Kluyveromyces lactis: one gene and its partners. The protein of the gene in region 6 purifies or fractionates together with the protein of the main gene of each other region. This does not show direct contact. Links are inferred from orthologs where the notes say so. Each region holds a gene or a part of one and is shown on either strand. Other genes may lie near its edges.

Region 1 (3,000 bases), on a different chromosome or scaffold from region 6:
TTTACCTTAATATATCAAAAAATACGTAATAAGCTTTCCTTTCACAGCTCTTTCTAAACAAGCTTTATCTTTTTTCTTTTTCTTGGCTTTCTTCCTTATTTCTTTCCGAAGCCAAATAGAGCAATCATGGGAATTCAGAGGATTACGGAAGTTCGGAACAATTGTGCAAAGCGCGTTGCATGTGAGAGAGTACTAAAGAACACTCGAGAAGCGACCTGTAATGAGCGCATTGCAGATACTCTACCCTCCTGAGCTTTGCTCCATCAAGTTGTCTTGTTTTTGTGTATATGAGTATGTGTGGTTTCTCCGTATGTGAAATATAGGGGTACTTCATAGAGGCAGGAGGGGATCATAGTTTTTTTACCCGGATTTGAATTTCCGCTACTAAAAAATAATACCGTAGCAGTAGCAGTTTCATTTGATATCACGTGAGCGTTTGTGAAATTGAACCTATGCATATATACTCTATATACACGAAAGCCGTGGTTGCGATCACATGGTTACAACCACTGTTGGTAGCCAAATCTGTTCTTGGTGCACCAATCGAGCCCGTGTTCTAGATATTCTTCTCTTGTGACCCTTGCTGAGCGGAACTGATCCGAGTTGGCAAAGTCTTTCATGCTTTCCCATCCGTGTAGAGATTTGTCCTTTTCCTGGGGTGAATGTACTTTGCAGCTCCAGTCTATCGGACATTGTCTTTGTAATTCTGTTTGTAATCGCTCGTGGAAGTTTGGAATGTTAAAATTGCCTCCGGTGCATACTATATTGGCAACAAGTAATGGTCTGACGACTTCGGGACACATGTTGATGCATTCTAGAATTGTTTCGACGATTCCTGGTTTTAAAATCTGTGCAATTTCAGGATGAAAGAACGTTTCTGGTACCGAGAAGACTTCATCTGTGAGTAATAAGGTCTGTGCATCATCCGTGAGCTTTTCTTTACCTGGTTTCTTAACGTACCCCAAGAAACTCGTTTGGAAGTCCGGTAGTACATACTCGACCTTTGTGTTCATTTTGTTGTGGAAACTTGAAAAATATGATTCAGGGGGAACAAAAGTACATTGCTCCTTGATGTTATTTACAAGTATTGTCTCTTCCATCACATTGTAATGCCTAAACGAAATGGTTTCCTGTAATAGGCCTGTTAAAAATCTGCCACCGATGTCGAGTTTCTTGATAGCTTTGTAATACGGTACTCCCTTTATTATAGGAACAGCCCATGTGCAGTTAAACCCCGAGTCTATAACTAATTGGAAGTCCTTGTATGAACTAGTTTTCTTGTCTTCAGCAGCGGTCATTGCGTCATCTTGATATTGACCCTGGTAAAAAGGAATATATTGTGCTACAGGTCCTTTGAACATAGATTTGAAATCATATTCTTCGAATATTACCTGGTCCATGTTTTTCGAAAGCTCTGGTATCGTCATGAGCGTCTCACTTACTACTAAATGATGATCTTTAGTGTCATTGTCGTGTGTCAAGTTCCAATGGAAGTCGTCCTCGTTGTAAAAACAGTAATCCCATACTTCACTTTCTAATTCCCATGATACAAGTTGACCCAATTCGTGAGGCCTTCTTATTAAAGCCTGCGATATATCCCGCATTTTCTTCGTTTGATTTGAAAGGTGGAAGCGAGAGTATTTGTCCTTGGTTAAGCAGTTTAACGCTCGCAGTGGCTGATCCCATCCACTCTCACCAAATTTGATTTCATACGATCCGTTATCGATCACCAATACAGGCTCACTCATTTTAATAGATGTATGATTATATTATTCCCATTAAATTATCCCATATAGCCAATTTGGCAAATCATCAGGACATTCAAAGAAGCGCGCATGCAGATTGCCTGTGTTTTTCTGTAGTAGTGCTACAATTTTTCTTCATTTCCTTTTTGTTATTTTTCAAATTTCATGTTTTGAAAAGATTGTTTGTTTACCAAACAATCATGATGTAAACCAAAGAACTTTTAATATTCTATCATGATGGCGATGGCGATGGCAAACCACCACAGCCAACGAGCACCTCGACCTGTAAAGCTATTATTCTGGTTGCCTCCTGTAGCTGCACTATAGCTTGATTGATATGACTGCAGACAGTTCTGTGCCGCATCTGGGAGACTCACCAGAAATAAAGAGGCAAAGAGTATCACAATCGCCAACAAGGACGCCAAGGAAGTTGGTTTTGGGCTCACCTGAAAAAAAATATGCCGTCTCTAATTCACAGGCTACTACTGCCGCTTCTAATACAATGGATCCACCGAGTCTGCAACCTCCTACGGCACATGCTGTACGAGGGCGCGAATACAGTCAGTCTCCGCCTAGGTCTCCTACGCGATCACCTACTAGATCTCCGACAAGAAAGCTTGAATTGATCAGACTTTCACCCAAAAAAAGTACACGACTTGAATTACAAAAGATGCACGAGGCCAATACTCAGACCTCACAGCGATTATGCATTGATAAATTGGTTTTGAATAATTTCAAGTCGTATGCTGGTATTCAAGAGATTGGACCATTCCACACATCATTTTCTGCAGTTGTTGGTCCTAATGGATCAGGAAAATCTAATGTTATCGATTCAATGCTTTTTGTCTTCGGTTTTAGAGCCAATAAAATGAGGCAAGGGAAACTCTCCGAGTTAATTCACAAATCTGAGCAGTTCCCGAGTCTGGCATCCTGTTCTGTCCAAATTCATTTTCATTACGTTCATGATACAGATAATGGTGAAACCAAGATTCTTCCATCGGCTGGTACAATGGTGGTTGAAAGAAGAGCATTCAAAAACAACTCTTCAAAGTACTATGTTAACGGGAAAGAGAGTAATTATACTGAAGTAACAAGACTTTTAAAAGAGGAAGGAATTGATTTGGACCATAAAAGATTCTTGATTCTTCAAGGTGAAGTGGAATCGATTGCCCAGATGAAGGCCAAGGCTGAAAAGGACAACGATGATGGACTTTTGGAATATTTGGAAGATATAATTGGCACAGCTAAATTCAAA
Region 2 (2,544 bases), on a different chromosome or scaffold from region 6:
CACTCCTAGCATAAATGCCGTTAAAGATATCTCGTCCAATTCGTTCTTTTGTATATTAGGAAATGTTTTCCCATCAATAATCACAAGAACATCCTCACTTTCATCATCTCTGCTCGACATAACTTCCGCACCTCTCAATCCACGCCAATACCTTCACTGATTTCAACTAGAATAGCTCAGAATAAAAACCAAAAACCAGCGTGAAGGATTCTTCAAGGTCTGATATATTAATGGAATATGATGCGTACTGCTAAATACCAACAGCAAGGAGTTCAAATAGTGTCTTGTTCGATAACAAATAGTTAAGTTAAAGTCTTCTCTTTCATCGGTATTAAAATTGTTTAAAGTGAAAGAATGAAAAAAAAAAGATAATGGCCTCGATTTTATACTATAATCAGTATTTACAAAGACATCAACATGAAGCAACAAACACGGGATCATGAGCAGTGTTTTGAGGTTCAAAGAGAGTAGCTGTTAAGTTTTTTCAGCTAGCAGCAAACTCAGTTGTTACATCTTGTTTCACTGTGTAATTCATAACAGCGAAGACTGCATATCTTGTCATTGCAAACAACGCAGTTAGATATACTGGAGTAACCACCACACATAGAGCAGGTGACGATCATTGGTAAGACCCTGAAAAACTTCTTGTTTTGAACGTTACTATAAATGAGTGTGTGGTTCACTTGGTCTAAAGTTTCTAGATAGGAGTGTAAAGACCTTCTGCTTGAAAGTACTTTCCTTAGTGCTGATATTCTGTTGGAACTTTTCTTTGATTTCCGAGGCGGCTTGCTTGATTTATACAATAAATTCATAGACTTGGGCAAATCGAACTTGGCCATCCTCTGTCTGGATGAACCTGAGCCTGATTGTTGCTCAGATAATATACCGGTGCTTGTTTGATCGATCTTATCTTTGTTCAGCCCCGTGATGTTACTGAGAAGAGTTGTAACTTCACGAAGATCTTGATAGTTTTCTGTGTCAAGTTCCATGAACCGCTTATTAGATCGTAACAAATCAGGCAAGGCATGCTTATCAGATCCTGTCAGTTGATTTATGTCGTCTTTATCGCTTCCCTTGGGCTGATTATATATCTTTGCCTCCAAATCAGCCAATGAATAATTGACTCTCTTGTTTCTTGCTGAGGTTTGAGACTGTTTCGAGACCCTTGCACTTTGATGAGTTTGGTTCAAACTGCTGAAATAAATGTTAGGATTATACGTCCTCACATTGATTTCTTCTACCGACCTCATATTGACACTCTTCGCACGCTTCTTCCTTCTTTTATCCAGTGATAAAGTGTCTTCCTCGGTATACTCACTATGATAAGGTCGATTTTAAATTTCTTTGCCATATTCTCATTTGATATATAATATGGTAGATATGCGAACAACAGTAACTGAAGGGAGAGAAAAGATGTCAATCATTGGGTAAGATAGGCCGTTAACGTATGGTTGATGATGGTACCAATTGTTGCCAGTGCATCCTTGTTCAGTAATTCATAATAGATCATAAAGTGGTTAGAATATCATATATAATGGACTCGTACTAAAACAATATAAACTGGTGCCTGTGCTATATCATAGTTTGGCCTTGGCAGAGTTGTGTAGAGACAAAGTTTCATACATTTCATCTGCCGCCTTAGTTAAATAATAGTGTAGTTCGTCAACACTAAATCCAGAAGCTTCTGGTTTGTTGGTGATATTAATGTGCAAAAATTCGTTATTGATCATATAGGCTAAGCCAAATCCATTATCGTATACTTGAGACCAACCGTAACATTCAAAGTTTTCAGAGGATAATTGTGAAGTTGAAATCAACCAAGTAGAACTGTATTTGAACAATGCGTCTTGGAACAAAGGTACTGGCTCATCAGATTCATGAACCATGTTTTTCAACCCAAAGAAATGGCGATCAACGGCTTCACCGTTAGAGGCCATCTTCAAATATTCAACATGATCCTTGGCAGCATCGTAGAAAGCAGCAATTTTCTCTTCAGTAGTAGAAGTAGGTGATTCCCATGTTTTAACGAACTTGGAAGAGGATTCAGTGACCGGTCTACCAGTTTCAGTTCTACCTTGGAAAAACGCTCTGGTAGAAGCAGCTTCGTACGTTGGTAGTTGTTTCTTCAAATACTTGAAAACAGCAAGTTGAATCACCTGTTGAATGTAAGCATCTGGTGACACTTTAAATGTTTTCACAATTCTCTTACCATACCTATTATAGTGCCAAACGCGTAAATCTTCACGTTCCACTGTTGTTATAAATTGCAATTTTGCACTCTCGATAGTATTTCTCAAGGTTGGTGTAATTATAAATGGTAGATGTTCACTGTTCACAGAAGGGTAAGCTGATACGTTGGAATGTAAGGACTCGACGAACGCTGAAGGATTCAATTTTGTTAATTGATCCACGACGTAATGGTTTAAAAACAAAGTTGGAGTACCATCCATTTTCGAATGTTCTGCCAAGAAACCGGAGAAACCGTTACCAGTAACAAAAAATTGCAAAGGCTTGTCAAAGAATCTATTGGTTCCGTCTCCGTGC
Region 3 (3,687 bases), about 1.1 Mb from region 6:
TTTATCACCACGTTTTTCCCTCTTCAATTGTCTCTTTGATTTGGAAGGTTCAGCGGGCGTTGTCTCTGCGAGATCCGCCTTTGAAGCTGAGGCACCGGGGAAATACTGTTGCTTCAAGTAGTACAACTTGTAGAAAATAAACGCAGGGCACACTAATACCAAGAACCACCATTTCATCGTGTTGAAGAAAACTGTTCCCAGGTTACAGAACAAGGAAACATACACGATATCTTTCATGTATTCAGTGAGTCCACCAGATTCCAAATCGAACCCTTCATTAACTAGTTTATATTTTCCATGCGCAGCGTTACTGACTTCATATTTTGGTCTACCGGTACGTTCGAGAATATATAAACATAACAACATCGGCACATTGAAAAGAATAGGTTTTAGGGTTGAAATCAGCCCATTACTGAACCATTTCCTCAATAACGTTAAAGATAGTATAGCGACGACTAGTACGTGCAACTGCTTTAAGATGGCTGCGTTCTTTGCAGCAATCTTCTTGGACGATTTTCCAGCCATTCTACAATGGGTGGGTGAGATTCTTCAGAGATAGAGATAGATGTACATAAATGTACTGTCGAATATTAACCTGATCTATTAATACCTTCCCGTTGCTTCAATGATAGTTGATGATGATCCACGTAACATATATTCACGTATAGATTTCAACTGCCGAGTCATTATAATCCGGGTAACGTACATATATGTCACGTGATTTTGAATATACACATTAATATACGGAGGATTAAGACGATATGCGGTCATAATGAATTGTAAAATAAACCAGATGTACTAACATCCAGAGATCGATAACTGCCTCATGAATACAATATACTACGATATAACTATTCTACCGACAGCCTACCAACGTTATATCAAACTTCCAGCCTTCACAAAGCCTTCAATTGCAAGTCCGCCCCTCCAGCTGTACAGTGAATCCCACGTAACCACTAGAAAACCATTACCGCAACTGCTCCGCCTCGTGGACAATGACAATCGTCTCCTATTTTTCATCAGAATTCTTTTTTTTTTTTTAATTTGTTTTTTCGAAATTTTCTCTTCTGTTTCTCTGGACAGCTAGTGCGATTTATTGTATGAGAGAGTTTGAAATTTGATTTAATTTACAAGAAAAATAAGAAATATCTTGATTTGTTTCCTCCTTCTTTACTGTCTTTTACGATCCAAAGAGAAGAAAGGTTGTTTCAGAATAACGGTTTTTTTGTTGATTGCAAAAGGAATTGTACAACATCTTCACGCGCTATAGTATAACAATATGGATTCTGGTATGTGTGGAAACGTATATTTGATTACGGTGGGTTAATTGGGTGGTTAAAAAGTTTGGATATGTTTTATTACTTTGTTAGGTTTCCGGTTAAATGTTGGGAGGGAAAAGATAGGATAATGGCAGCGCTTTGCGCTGCCATTGTCCATTCTCTAACTCCCTAAATCAGATTTAGAATTAGATGTACAACGCTAATTGAATGGGTTTTTTTTATATATAGGGGTTTGGATTAGAAGCTTTGTTCGAGAATTGGATCTTTCATTTCCTGGTTCTACCTTCTTACTATAACGTGTTTTTCTTGGGTTTTGGGTGACTAACTTTGGATTTTGGGTTTTTTTTACCTGATTTAGGAGGCGAATTGGAAAGAAATTTGGAAAATATAGGCAAAAAAAGATAATTTGATGTCACGTGATGATGTGATTTTATATTACAATGTTATTCCTTCCAGTCCAAGAAGGAATCAAAGTACACCTTTAAGTGGTGCAGGCATTGCCCCTCGTGGTTCGGTTGTCCCTATTTTTTTTTTGATTTATTTTTCTGGTTGCTAAGGTTAGCCCCTATTTTGTCCGCGACAGGACTTTTAGCGTTGAACAATCACATAACCTCATGATCACCCAAAATGCACCTGTTACTTTTGTTTTCTTATCTTATGTTACTAACAATTATTTTTCTATTTGGGATGGCTGAATTCACTTTTTTGGAACACCTAACCTACCCAAACGTACGGTTTAGTTCCTTAATCTGCATTCTGCTACTCGTGATGGTTTTTTATTCTAAACAGAGGTCGCTGCTTTAGTTATTGACAACGGTTCTGGTATGTGTAAAGCCGGTTTCGCCGGTGACGACGCTCCAAGAGCCGTCTTCCCATCCATCGTCGGTAGACCAAGACACCAAGGTATCATGGTCGGTATGGGTCAAAAAGACTCTTACGTTGGTGACGAAGCTCAATCCAAGAGAGGTATCTTGACTCTACGTTACCCAATTGAACACGGTATCGTTACCAACTGGGATGATATGGAAAAGATCTGGCATCACACCTTCTACAACGAATTGAGAGTTGCTCCAGAAGAACACCCAGTTTTGTTAACCGAAGCTCCAATGAACCCAAAGAACAACAGAGAAAAGATGACTCAAATCTTGTTCGAAACTTTCAACGTTCCAGCCTTCTACGTCTCTATCCAAGCTGTTTTGTCCTTGTACTCTTCTGGTAGAACCACTGGTATTGTGTTGGATTCTGGTGACGGTGTTACCCACGTTGTTCCAATCTACGCCGGTTTCTCCTTGCCTCACGCTATCTTGAGAATCGACTTGGCTGGTAGAGATATCACCGACTACTTGATGAAGATCTTGGCTGAACGTGGTTACTCTTTCTCTACTACCGCTGAAAGAGAAATCGTCCGTGACATCAAGGAAAAGCTATGTTACGTCGCTTTGGACTTCGAACAAGAAATGCAAACTGCTTCTCAATCATCCGCTGTTGAAAAGTCTTACGAATTACCAGATGGCCAAGTTATCACTATCGGTAACGAAAGATTCAGAGCTCCAGAAGCTTTGTTCCATCCATCTGTTCTAAGTTTGGAAGCTGCTGGTATCGACCAAACTACTTACAACTCCATCATGAAGTGTGATGTTGATGTCAGAAAGGAATTGTACGGTAACATCGTCATGTCCGGTGGTACCACCATGTTCCCAGGTATTGCTGAAAGAATGCAAAAGGAAATTACCGCCTTGGCTCCTTCTTCTATGAAGGTCAAGATCATCGCTCCTCCAGAAAGAAAGTACTCTGTCTGGATCGGTGGTTCTATTTTGGCCTCTTTGACCACTTTCCAACAAATGTGGATCTCAAAGCAAGAATACGACGAATCTGGTCCATCCATCGTTCACTTGAAGTGTTTCTAATCTCCTTCACTTTTTTTTACTTGACACTCTTATAAAAAGAATACAATTAAAATAAACGATGAATCGATTCATATAGATGAACCCAAAAATTGAAGCTTATGAAACAAAAAACTAACAATTATTAAAACTTCATATAGGGACGATTTTACTCCAAATCTTCTTTGTTTTTATAATTTTGTTTTGTGTGTTGTTTTTATTTATCTTCGATCGCACAGTCATTATTCAAGTTCCAATCTTCTATCTTATGTTGTTGGAATATTCTACTTCATATAAATGAAGTGGGTAGTTTAGTATGAAAGTTAATAAGTTAATAAGCCGAGATTATATACGAACGAAATTCAAATTCAACATTAAAATTAAACAACTCCAATTGAAAGTTATATACGGCAATTATTGAATATTCGTGCGAGGCTAATTGCTTAAGTTGATCATCTGATAATTTGAAAAGGATTTAAAATCATCATATGTTCCAGAACAAAGATTTTTAGTGTTGAAAGTTA
Region 4 (2,298 bases), on a different chromosome or scaffold from region 6:
TTGAATTCAGTAGAGTTAGAGAAGGTTGGTCTGACATAATGGTAGTTGGAGTCAAACCATTTAACCATTTCCAAAGCTGGCACATCAACAGCAGCAGTGGTTTCGGTAGCCTTTCTTTGCAAACCTCTAGCCATAGCAAAGTAAGTGTCCAATGGAGACAATTCATACTTAGAGTAACGTTGTGGGATAACGTTGAACAATAGAGAAAGATCCAAGACTTGATCGTAGAAAGAGAAATCGTTGGAAGCAATGACATTGACACCAGCATCCTTTTGCAACTTCCAGTTAGAGGCCTTGATGTCCTTAGCAACTTGTTGTAATTGTTCAGCAGAGACCTTACCGTTCCAGTACCCTTCGGTAGCCTTCTTCAATTCTCTGTTTGGCCCAATTCTTGGGAACCCTAAGACGTATGATTGAACCATTTTGTTATTGACAAACTAATGTATGATTAGTGATTGGTTTGTTTGGCTTAAGATATTAAACTCAAACTGAATGATAAAGGAAATAAATCTGTATTTAAACAAAGTACACATAATTCCTTTTATTATTGTAATGATGAACAATTGTCACTCCTCAAATTACATCAAGAGTCGACTGCTTATATACATTTTTTTTCAGATCCTCTTTGGACTGAAGTTTCTGATCCAACAAACATCGTTTAAACGATGAGTCTTAATTACCTTCGGCTGCTCTAGTCGTTCCCACGAAAAAATCTGCTCAACTACAAAACTGCCACTATTACTACTGCTGCTACTACTACTTACTTTTGACTTGAGCTCATCGGAACGTAACAGAACAAAACTTTTCACCACAATTCACCAAAGGATTCTTTCTGCAGAGATGGGGCTCTCTCAGATACCATAGAAAAGCACATGTCGTCAAAATAACACTTCCCACGAATCGCACAGCATTTCACATGTGGTTTGCCTAATGGTTTCCACATGGTTTCCTGCACGGTGTTTTGACGTAAATAGTGTGGTATAAGACCGACGTAGGTTGGGCAAATGGTAACTGTCACGTGCTGTGCCGTAGTCATGGCTAACCGGTCACGGGGAATGGTTCGGACTGCAATGTGGCTCAATTTGGTCTGTAAGGGTGTGGTTGGGGCGGTGGTTGTGCTTGTTGTGGCGTTTTTATGCACTTTTCCAAAGCAATTTTGATCCTTTTTTTTCCACACCATCCTCCTCCTTTCTTTCACATGGTGACGATGACTTCGTGATACTTACCCGGATTGATTGAAAGAGCTCCAAACTGAACAGCATTTCCAAGTCACATGTATTTTCACGTGACCTACAGAAGTAGTAGACTGTCTCTCTCGATTGGAACTCTCTTTCAGCAGAAATTTAAGCCAGCAATTATCACTCTTCTTCTTAACTTCGAACAACTATTTACGAGGTGAGACGATTTTCTCCAGTTTCAGTGCTATTACCACCAAACATCCAATATGCCGACTTTGGAAGTAGAGCACAAGAAGCTTCTTAATAGAAGAGAAGAATTGCTGAAACAAGACGTTTCTCTTAGGAAAGATTACAGTATCTTGCTTCGCAAGATTACAAGTGTCTGCCAGGTATTAGAATCATTAGGTGAGCCTATTCACATCAATTTAAATGGATACCCCATCTTCCAACAGCCAGATTATCAGAAGTTTAAAGATTGGGATGCTCTGGTACCACTTTTGAAGAGTTTAGAAGAAGTGAACTCGTTGCCCTTGGATGAAATCGAGATCCCAGAAGCTTTACAAGAATCTTATGAATTATTTAAGATGACTCCATTACTATATAAGGATGGTTCTGAATGAAAGTTTGGCTTGTCCTGAATTATCTTTTTCTTCTCCTCTCGTTCCGTATCATGTTCTCAACGGCTCGTGTGTTGATGAACAGTTCCAACAAAAATTTTCGAACTGAGGGTTTGAATCGGTACTCTCCCAATAATTCATAAACTTGTTCAAACATTTCTGGGCTTTGGAATCTACTAGGCCCATACTTGGACTGGAGAGCAGTTATCTCTTTGATCGCACCATTCAGAAGGATATTGTTGCCCATATCGCTTACTATCCTTAGGATCCTATTGTTGATCTTGTCATCTTCAAACACATCTGGCAGTTTCGACTCATTTGTTTGGGATATCTCTCGGATCGCTCGTTCCAATTCTTGTTTGTCCTCTTCCTGCTGGTCGGGATTCACAGACGTCTCGGATCTTTCCCATTCCAATAAGTTGTCTAAAGGGATCTCATGGTCCCCAACTATAATGTTCGAATTCAGTTCATTGTTACATATAGACGCCGCGTTCTGATTGTGT
Region 5 (3,936 bases), about 910 kb from region 6:
GGTGGTACCAAACAACCTGGTGATTATAGTGTAATGCCTCGTGATACAGATACTGAGAAGCTCATTGGAAGAGGTAAGAAACTTTTCCCTGAATTGCTTGAAAACTTCGAAATCAAGAACGTCAACGTTGGTTTCAGACCGCTAAGAGTAGGAGGTTCGCGTGTAGAACTCGAGTTCAATAAGAGTCCTGATGGAGAACAAATGCCAGTTATTCATGCTTATGGTCTTGGTGGGATGGGATTCGAGACCTCGATGGGTGTTGCCTACCACATTCAAAAATTGTACAACAACGTCTTCTCCACTTCAAAATTATGATGTGCGCTTGCATCGAAATTAAAGACTACCTACTGGACATTTCACATTAAAGTAAATAATTCTGTAAATAAAGACCACGCAGCATTTTAAGTTAACTTTATTTGAAAGTATCAATAACGATTACACTTCATTCGAATGAAGGGATTGTACAACGGAGGTTGTTACTAAGTAAAAAAAGTATGCATCTCAGTAACGAAGTGAGTGGTGCCGTCAGGACGTTTACGTATTTTATGGTAAGTGGAACTCATTATATGTTGAAGGGTGTAGATTACATTTCGTTATATGGTGAGGAACCCAGTGCAATTGAGCAAGCTTACGCCATATTCATGAATGTGTTGGAAATAGATGAACAAGGGAAAGTTATCAACGTCAAACATGCCGAGAAACGAGCAACAGACTACATTAGGTCTTACTGTGAATCGACCTTCGAGGTTGATCCACCTTTCGAAGATTGGGAAGTTCAGTTATATTGAAAAATGTACCTCCATTAGCAACTATTTTAGACCGGCGTTGGTTTTCTGGGAGCAATTGGCTGCTTATACACCAGAATAGTGTATGTTTAGAGGCTGCTACATAGTCAAAAGATAGTATTAGTATTCATACATGATATCAACCTTTATTCACACTGGATATAGGCAACCAATTATAAATCCGGGTAACTTGTAGTTTACGTTGACTATCAAAGAGAATCAACCAAAAGGTAATAACGTCCAGTAAACTTAAACAGTAAAACAGAAGTTTTCTGATATAAAGAAGGTGGAAAAGCCAGACTTAAAACATTAGAGAACGTATAAATTTGAAGAAATTCATTATTGGTTCCATATATAGTACCCCTAATTGGAGATCTAATTGGGTATCTGCGTTCTCTGTTTTTCTAATTAGGAGACAGACAACTTTTTATTGAATAACAGAGCGGAAAGCAATTGTTACTATCTTTTATGAACTGCTAGTACCAAATTACAAACTTATAACACCTAGAAATTTTCCAATTCAATTTAAGATTACCTTTTCTTACATTTGCATTATTGATCAGCTCTAAAAGATTTCAACAATGGCAAAGCGGGTGTATGATCCCATTCACGATACTTATCAGATACAAGTTACTCCAGAGCCGCCTGTGCTTTCACAGCCGCGACCAGATGGTAACGAAGAGGAAGACAGAGACTCGGATTCTACTCAGTCAGAACCTTCTCAATCAGCTGCAATTTCCATGCCAGATTCTTCTAATGACGAAAATAAATATTATGAGAAGGAATCAACGGTGTCCGCAGATTCTCCTAATTCAGCATTGCCATCTGATTCACAGCATTCCGTAATACCTCCTCCGCCACCAATGGAGCTGGTTCAATACCCAGGGAATGAGAGGAAATCCAAACATTCTCATGCTATGAACTTTATGACAACTACCCTGAGACCAAAACCTAAGGCAAAAGAACCAAGCCGATACACTCGCCATTTAAAGAAATCTGACGGTGAACCTTTCACTCGTAAGGACATTCAATATGAGTTCCTTTCGAACCTTCTATCTGACACAAGACAAATATTTAGTAATCCGTTCCAAGATTTCTTTCCCTTGGAATACACACCAGAGGAAGGTAAAGTGGTGAACGTCACGGATGTGGACTATAATGCAAGAACTTTCATCAAAACCGAAAAATTAACTTTTTCTCAGATATACATTTTAACTATCGCTTCTTCAAGTAAATGTTCCAAAGTATTACGGGATAAACTACTTTTTGATCATCATGTAGCGTTTTCTACGTGCATATTATCATTGTTGGTGAATATGGGAAGATTGAATACGACTGTAAATTTCTTTCTCGAAATGACTTCCCAGCTGCGTACCTTCCATTCAATTCCATGTCTACAGCACTATAGTTCAGATCCTAAATCATTACAAGATACTCCAAGGATTAAGTCGATCCTCAAAACTATCCCACTTGGGTCCGACACTCCAATAGAGTTTCATAAATGGTACGCAGCAGATTACCCCCGTAATCCTAGCGAATGGGTAAATCCAGTATCTTTGATATTTGCTTTTTGCGAACAACATGCCATACTAGATTGGAATATTATAATTCCTAATTGTAAGCCCAAGACCTCTCTTTACCAATTATTTGATGATAATAATTATTCTCCACAGCTACGAGTCAATCTTTTCTTGTGGTTGATGTATATCCATATGGAGACGAACCTCACACCGGAATCGTTACAGTCTTCGAAACCTCTCTTCCAAGTCGAACCAAACGGAACGTTCTTATTGACTGCGTCTCATTTAGAACATGATATTGACACTCCAGTAGAGGTAACATACGGAGAAGAGCAATTGGAAAAGAGAATAAGCTTTTTGAATCAAACAGGAGCAGAGAGGACGATTGTCCAACAGACGATGGAAACTCCTCCTACAGGCCCCGATGATGAACCGTTGGATCCAGAAGCAGCACTAGAAGAACCGGTACCGGCTCCTCCACCACCAAAGCCCAAGCAGTCACGAGCTACATCAAAGGAAAAAGGAGGGAAGTCACAACCGGTGATAATCCAACAAGATACACAGCGAAAGAAGAGACAGTCGAATGCAGCAGGTTCTAAAAATAATTCGGAAGAAAACAACAATAACTCTGAAAGTAAAGCTGCAATAAGGGCTAAGATTCAACAAGATAAAGATGAGCGAGTACAGCAAAAAATTGATCTTGATAAAAATTTTAAAATTAGAGATGATTTGACTCAGACTCAATTGAGAACTAAATTGATTGAAGCCCATAAAATCACCAACAAGAAAAACCATGAGTTAGGCTTAGTTAAGTTATTTGACGAATTCGAAGATGTTCCTCTTGCAACTATTATTGGTATCCGGGGGAAAAAGAGAAAGAAGTTCAGTGACGGCATTTTAGGATATGAGACAGACATGTTAGGAGTGCTACGCCATTCAAAAAGAACAATGCTCAAAAGGCTAAGAGAGAAACGCGGAGTGCCCAACCCTGAAGAAGAAAACAGCTCTGCTGTCCAAGAAGCAACGACTGAACCAAAAGTAATGGCTGAATCCACTGCAGAAACTCTGGCGGCAGATCCAACTGAAAAAGTGGAAAACGAAAGGAACGGAACTGCCTTCCATGACAGCTGAATAGTTCCAACTTCTGCGAACGATAGTAACACTAATAATGACATTGTAATTAAATAATTGTAGATCCATATTTAATGACTCCTAATTGAATTCCATACTGGTATATAAGGAAATCCAAAATTTTCTGTACTTTGTTGGTCAGTATCAACGTTTCTGGGTATGGCGATGGTAAATTCCAGTAACAGTGAAAAGAAACCTCTAAATCATTAAGAGTTATGGTATTGTTAGATGCCCTAATGAATTTACTTGCCTCGACGATCTTTGATATCATTTGCTCGTGAAGTTCCTTTATCCTAAGAAATTGTACGACAGCCATCATAGCAACATTCACGTTCTGAGTATCTTCGGCATATTGAATTATAGGCTGTAACTCAACTTCAAACGCATTCAAGTCAATAGCCATGGAACGAATACTCTCGTTTTCTACTGCTATTCTGAAAGAGGCGGTGAAACTACCTTTACGTAGCAGGATCATATCCTTTTCACATGTGACTGTAACA
Region 6 (3,301 bases):
CAAGTTATATGGATTAACTGAGGGGAAAATACAAGGTGTTAGTTCTCTTCTTTCTGGAATCAAACAACTTCTTCCCGAGAAGAAAACGATTCCCATTACCAATATCGTCGAAGCCATCATGGATCCATTGAACAGCTCAAAAAAGAACCTTCACATTACAAGTGAATATCTTTACTTTGATCCTAGAAGCACAAGGGGTTCGCACGAGAAGCTACCAAAGAGTCAGACATATAATAAATCCTTGGTGTTTGTTGTAGGTGGCGGTAATTACTTTGAATACCAAAATCTTCAAGAATGGGTTCACCAACATGAAAATAGCAACAAGAAGGTCATTTATGGTAGCACTGATATAATCTCCCCTAACGGATTCTTGAAAGAGATCTCAGGATTTAAAAAGTGAGGTTATAATATAGATTTATGATTTTATTTGTTGTCAGTATATATTTATAATAAACTTATACTTTGATGAAGTAAGATGCCATGTTAACACGAAATTAAAGTTACAAGTAATTTTCAGATTGTTCCAAGATCTTCGTAGACCTTTTAGCATCTAAAAATAATAGCTTTGCTTCTTCAACATCTGCCACCGATATTTCGGCGCGGTTTGCAATCTTAGCAATGATACCTGATGGTGATAGAAGCTGTAGAACATAACGCAAAGAAGTTTCTGTGCCTAAAGTCGCCAAAAATTCCAATGCTTCGTCCTCCACCTGCAAGTTCTCTACAGCAGCTCTCTTTGATATGATTGTTTTGATCTCTTCTCTGTTATAAGGTAGAGTTCGAACAATTAGGAGTCTATCTATCAAATCTGGTGGAACACCGTGAGGAGAAACAACGTCGTCAGTGCCGCGTACGGTGATCATTCCTCTGTTTGAGGCCAAAACAACCACAGGTGCAATATCAGATTCTAATGCTCTGTTTAAGTAAGTAAATATTTCGATGTCAAGCATATTCACTTCATCAATGAAAAGAACACCCGGGACAAGTTCTGCTACACCTTGGTCAATGTACTTTGCGACAACCTTATTAACCTCGTGTCTAAGCTTTTCTGTTATCTCTGTCTTCTTTGGTTTCATGAGCTGTCCCATCATCGAAATGACATCTTGTCCACCTTGAGGTCTGGCATTAGCGACATCTAGATCATGTAAAGTGACATCCTGAACTATTTCCTTCTTCTTATGCACTTCTCCCTTTGGAAGGGGAACGTACTCTTCCGCTTCCAAATCGAATTCAGTTGCGAAGGCATCTGATCTACCAACTCTTTTCACCGCACCTGTATTTGATTCGATATAAATAACGTCACCAACAGAAACCTTTTCTCTTTGAATGCTTTCGTATATAGTTGGATCAAGCCTCAATGTCTTAGTACCCTTGGCAGACTTCAATCCGACGATAACATGCGAGATTGTCTTACCATAACCACCCAACGGATTTTCCGCTTCCTCTGGAGTTAATTCGGTAACTTCACCTTCGTAAACTTCCTTTGTTTCTTTAATTCTTAATCCAATGGCTCTTCTGAAGTTTTCCATCAAAGCTTCTGTCTTTTTCACTTCAACGGAATACAATTCAGAGCCCACTAAGGGACAAAATGGAACTTTAGGACCAAGTTCCTGCGATATTGCCAAAGCCAAAGCTGTCTTACCAGTGGATGGCCCACCAGCCAATAAGATAGCTTTACCAGACATTTTCTTGGCTTTGATCAAATCGACGATGACACCACACGCTTCCCGAGCTTCTGCTTGCCCCACAAAACCACCTTCCACTTGCTTTGCTACACCAAACTCATCTAAACCTAACCCTTTAATGTGTGTGTGAGCTGCAGTACGGGTATACGCAGTGCTTGATTGTTCCTGCACTTCACTGATTTGTACCATGTTAACGTTATACTATCGCAAGAAGGAAAATATAGATGGTAATAATAGATATCTTCTCCTAGTTTTCTTTCGACTGCAGGACTATTAAAAAATTGAAAGGCTGATCCGTTACTACTACTCAATCGAAAGCTAGCTAAAGAAGACCGGTCAATACTTGAAAATCATCAAAGAAACCCAGATTTGAAGAGATGTCGACTGCTGTTTTTTCTTCTAAATTGCCCAGTAAACAAGAAAAGCATACATATCATCACATACGGAATTGATAGTTGTCCACGTGATTAGATATCATGCCTTTTTTTTTTATTTAGTTTCTACGCTGCATTGACAGTTGAGCAGGACCAATGCAATCGAGGTAAGAAATCCACCAATGTCGTGCTCACAGTATCTTACAGCTAAAGGTTCAAAAAATGTTTGTATAGCTTGTCAGGGCAAACAGCTTGATATCCTTATCAAATGAAACTATGGTGTCCGAATAAGAAAAGGACGGCTAAAAGCTTTGCTTCTTCAACTTTTTTTCTTTTCATCGATTATTTCGGTTTTTCATGCAGAACCAGCAAGCGGGATCAATTACATTTCCTATTTCGGAATATATCCATCTCGATTTAAAGAAAAGCTCAGTTTCACTAACTAATACCCTCTTGTGGCTATCACAAATGTAATTCCATTCCGTACTCGTACATATAGTACATATATATATATATTTATACATATATGACCTGACTGAGTGTGATTTACTGGTATCGTATCTTTGTGGTTCTGAGTACGTTATTACTGTAAGTCATTGAAAGGGTAGAATAAATCTGACAAAGTTTTAAGGTAAGGATTTCCACTGCATAAGCATTAATAATGGAGTCTCCAGTTAGGAAAGAGTACCATCAACTACTGACTCCTCCATCGTCATCGGTAAAGAAACATGATTTGAAAGCGGGTGATCTCAAAGAACTGTCTATCAAGCCAAGAAAGCTTATAAATGATTTAAGTAGAGTTAAAAAGTCACCATCTCGGAAGAAGAAACTATGCGATTCGCCTACTACTCGCAGTTTGCCGCAGACAACAAGAAAACCAAGACTGAAATATAGACCAGAACTGGATACTGTTTTTCCTTTGGATAATTATGTTGAGGGATCTGCCAAGAGCTCATCAAAAGATGCTGAATTTTTAACATACGTGTTAAGTTATTCGAAACGAATCGTGGTGGTCCAAGGAGCTGGGGTATCAGTAGCAGCAGGAATTCCAGACTTCAGATCAGCGAATGGGCTATTCACAACTTTAAAATCAAGTTCACCAAATGTCAAGTCTGGGAAGGATTTATTTGATTTTAACCATGTTTACTCGTCAAACTCCATGTCGATATCTTTCAACAGCCTAATGAGTAAATTGCATTCTTTATCATGTACTAGCAAACCTACTGCATATCACAGTTTTAT
Region 7 (2,037 bases), on a different chromosome or scaffold from region 6:
ACTTCGTTCTCGTGCATATCATCTTACTCCTACAGGTACCAATTTTGATGATTCCAAATGTGGATACTTTGCATTCCTTAATGCTATTTTGGAGAAAGGCGGACATTGACGCCAGACCTATTATTTTTAAGAAGAAGGGTAAAAGCAAATTCAATGCGAACATATATGCGTTGGTGTTTATCATTATCTTAGCAATAATCACAGTTGTTTTTTCTTTGCCTCTGATCTTGAACCAACTTGTGGTTATCGATTCCGACAACTTGAGAGAAACAACCAGAATTCTCATACAACCAGAAATGAGTATAGCATTGCGTTCGGAGATAGGGCTCAAGGCATATCACAATATGATGAGAGCAATGTTCAATAAACCGAGAGTTTCTAACACTTAATACTACTCAAAGATATTCTACTGGTAATTTCATTTTGTAAGTCACATGATTAGTGTATATAGATGCATTTCTTCCATGAATACACACCCTGCATTGCTCAGCAACAGAATCTCAAAGATCTTGATATTTACTCGGTAGTTTATCTACTTCATGAATTTGCACCGAAATCAGGTCATCTTTGAGCTGCTCTGAACAGACATTTAACCTCCACTGAAGTTTTTTGCGAACTTTGTTATCGTTGTCGGTTTGTTCATTAACGTAAAACAACCCTCTTTGACACATTTGAGAGGCATCTGCGTAATTGTTCAGTTTTATCAACGCCATAGCACAGTTCGAATAGCCTACTGGATTTGTCGGATCATAAGTGATCGCTTTCTTGTAAAAATTCACAGCATCAGTGAAGTTATTCTGTTTGTATGCAGTGTTTCCTTTGATCTTGAACTCTTCAAAGCTTGGCATTGTTGGAATATAGTTATACAATAGGAAGTATCCTTTAAAAGTAGTTGACTACTAATCCTCTGACTGAAGCCAAACTACTTTTCTAATCCTATCTCCGAAATTTTGAACTAAGTTTGTCTCTTTCGAAGATTCTTTAATATTTTGTATCATGCACTTAAGCATCAGTTTTCAAATTTATGTAAGATGATCACAGTCATAAACATGACGATTTGTATTGAGATGAGCTGAGATGATTAACGCTTTGGAAAATATCGGTTGTATATGCAACTTTAGCATTTAAAATATTTTGCTCATTTGTTTGGGATTGACATTGGCTTGGAATACAATTCAACACTTCCAATATATCTATAATGGTACTCAATGATGATGTAAATGACGAAATCGATGCGATAAATGCTATCTACCCAGATCTTCTAACGGTGGTTAATAATGACAGAATAAAAATTAAAGTTCCTCAACACGAGGATTTCACATTACATCTATCGTTTCCCGAGCACTACCCTGAAACAGAACCGCCACATCTACTAGAAGTGAGTTTATCTGCTAAAATATCAGCACTATATGATGTCAAATATTTAAACCATCTTTTCACTGAAGTGTTGGAATCTGTATTTAACCCTGGACTTGTTTGTATATTCGATTTCTTGACGGAGCTCGATGGTGTGCTTTATACTGAGGAGGGGGAAGAGGCTTCTGGTTCAGATGAGGTTGATATATCTGATAAATTTGAGAATTTAAAGATTGATCCCTTCGAAGGATGGTACGTAAGTGATCCCATCACTGACAGAAAGAGCACGTTTATTGCGTTTGCTACTAAAGCCAATTCTGAAGAAGAGGCATTCGATAAGCTTGAGCTGTTAAGAACCGATAATAAAATTGCTCGTGCTAATCATTTAATGGTTGCATGGAGAATCAAGGGAGAGAACGGTGTCAGTTTCCAAGACTGCGATGACGATGGAGAAACAGCTGCAGGAGGACGAATGCTACATTTGATCACAGTGATGGATGCATGGAATGTAATTGTTGCCGTTGGAAGATGGTTCGGAGGAGTTCATATTGGTCCAGATAGATTCAAGCATATAAATTCAACAACTAGAGAAGTAATATTGAAGGGGCATTTCACAGAAGCTGCTACCTCTACTTCAAGTAAGAAGAGGTCAAAATAGTTCACATTTATAGAATGGAGTAT

The links.
Region 1: the proteins of RVB1 (region 6) and ARP6 purify together in Saccharomyces cerevisiae (affinity purification with mass spectrometry; 4 studies listed by BioGRID, with this or other methods). This does not show direct contact. The link is inferred for Kluyveromyces lactis from reciprocal best matches to the Saccharomyces cerevisiae genes RVB1 and ARP6.
Region 2: the proteins of RVB1 (region 6) and VPS71 purify together in Saccharomyces cerevisiae (affinity purification with mass spectrometry; 6 studies listed by BioGRID, with this or other methods). This does not show direct contact. The link is inferred for Kluyveromyces lactis from reciprocal best matches to the Saccharomyces cerevisiae genes RVB1 and VPS71.
Region 3: the proteins of RVB1 (region 6) and ACT1 purify together in Saccharomyces cerevisiae (affinity purification with mass spectrometry; 7 studies listed by BioGRID, with this or other methods). This does not show direct contact. The link is inferred for Kluyveromyces lactis from reciprocal best matches to the Saccharomyces cerevisiae genes RVB1 and ACT1.
Region 4: the proteins of RVB1 (region 6) and IES5 purify together in Saccharomyces cerevisiae (affinity purification with mass spectrometry; 5 studies listed by BioGRID). This does not show direct contact. The link is inferred for Kluyveromyces lactis from reciprocal best matches to the Saccharomyces cerevisiae genes RVB1 and IES5.
Region 5: the proteins of RVB1 (region 6) and IES1 purify together in Saccharomyces cerevisiae (affinity purification with mass spectrometry; 5 studies listed by BioGRID). This does not show direct contact. The link is inferred for Kluyveromyces lactis from reciprocal best matches to the Saccharomyces cerevisiae genes RVB1 and IES1.
Region 7: the proteins of RVB1 (region 6) and TAH1 purify together in Saccharomyces cerevisiae (affinity purification with mass spectrometry; 7 studies listed by BioGRID, with this or other methods). This does not show direct contact. The link is inferred for Kluyveromyces lactis from reciprocal best matches to the Saccharomyces cerevisiae genes RVB1 and TAH1.

What each region holds. Positions count from the first base shown.
Region 1 is NC_006042.1:1,756,029-1,759,028, forward strand, and holds ARP6 (Arp6p), read right to left. Parts: upstream 1,749-3,000; coding exon 501-1,748; downstream 1-500. Other genes in the region: condensin subunit SMC4, read left to right, coding at 2,083-3,000. UniProt on the Saccharomyces cerevisiae protein: Component of the SWR1 complex which mediates the ATP-dependent exchange of histone H2A for the H2A variant HZT1 leading to transcriptional regulation of selected genes by chromatin remodeling. Involved in chromosome stability.
Region 2 is NC_006037.1:191,199-193,742, reverse strand, and holds VPS71 (Vps71p), read right to left. Parts: upstream 1,251-2,544; coding exon 501-1,250; downstream 1-500. Other genes in the region: STE14 (protein-S-isoprenylcysteine carboxyl O-methyltransferase), read right to left, coding at 1-120; carnitine O-acetyltransferase CAT2, read right to left, coding at 1,578-2,544. UniProt on the Saccharomyces cerevisiae protein: Participates in the catalytic exchange of histone H2A for the H2A variant HZT1, an euchromatin-specific factor, leading to chromatin remodeling and changes in transcription of targeted genes. Indirectly involved in vacuolar protein sorting.
Region 3 is NC_006040.1:460,447-464,133, forward strand, and holds ACT1 (actin), read left to right. Parts: upstream 1-1,279; coding exon 1,280-1,289; intron 1,290-2,069; coding exon 2,070-3,187; downstream 3,188-3,687. Other genes in the region: SND2 (Snd2p), read right to left, coding at 1-525. UniProt on the Saccharomyces cerevisiae protein: Actins are highly conserved proteins that are involved in various types of cell motility and are ubiquitously expressed in all eukaryotic cells.
Region 4 is NC_006041.1:1,787,891-1,790,188, forward strand, and holds IES5 (Ies5p), read left to right. Parts: upstream 1-1,444; coding exon 1,445-1,798; downstream 1,799-2,298. Other genes in the region: MET6 (5-methyltetrahydropteroyltriglutamate-homocysteine S-methyltransferase), read right to left, coding at 1-422; KLLA0_E20087g (uncharacterized protein), read right to left, coding at 806-1,180; TORC2 complex subunit TSC11, read right to left, coding at 1,818-2,298.
Region 5 is NC_006040.1:651,424-655,359, forward strand, and holds IES1 (Ies1p), read left to right. Parts: upstream 1-1,366; coding exon 1,367-3,436; downstream 3,437-3,936. Other genes in the region: KLLA0_D07568g (FAD-dependent oxidoreductase), read left to right, coding at 1-315; KLLA0_D07579g (uncharacterized protein), read left to right, coding at 495-788; KLLA0_D07612g (uncharacterized protein), read right to left, coding at 3,486-3,936. UniProt on the Saccharomyces cerevisiae protein: Probably involved in transcription regulation via its interaction with the INO80 complex, a chromatin-remodeling complex.
Region 6 is NC_006040.1:1,560,264-1,563,564, forward strand, and holds RVB1 (RuvB family ATP-dependent DNA helicase pontin), read right to left. Parts: upstream 1,875-3,301; coding exon 501-1,874; downstream 1-500. Other genes in the region: SLY1 (syntaxin-binding protein), read left to right, coding at 1-400; NAD-dependent histone deacetylase HST4, read left to right, coding at 2,721-3,301.
Region 7 is NC_006039.1:781,226-783,262, forward strand, and holds TAH1 (Tah1p), read right to left. Parts: upstream 849-2,037; coding exon 501-848; downstream 1-500. Other genes in the region: KLLA0_C08888g (1,3-beta-glucan synthase), read left to right, coding at 1-389; YIH1 (Yih1p), read left to right, coding at 1,199-2,014.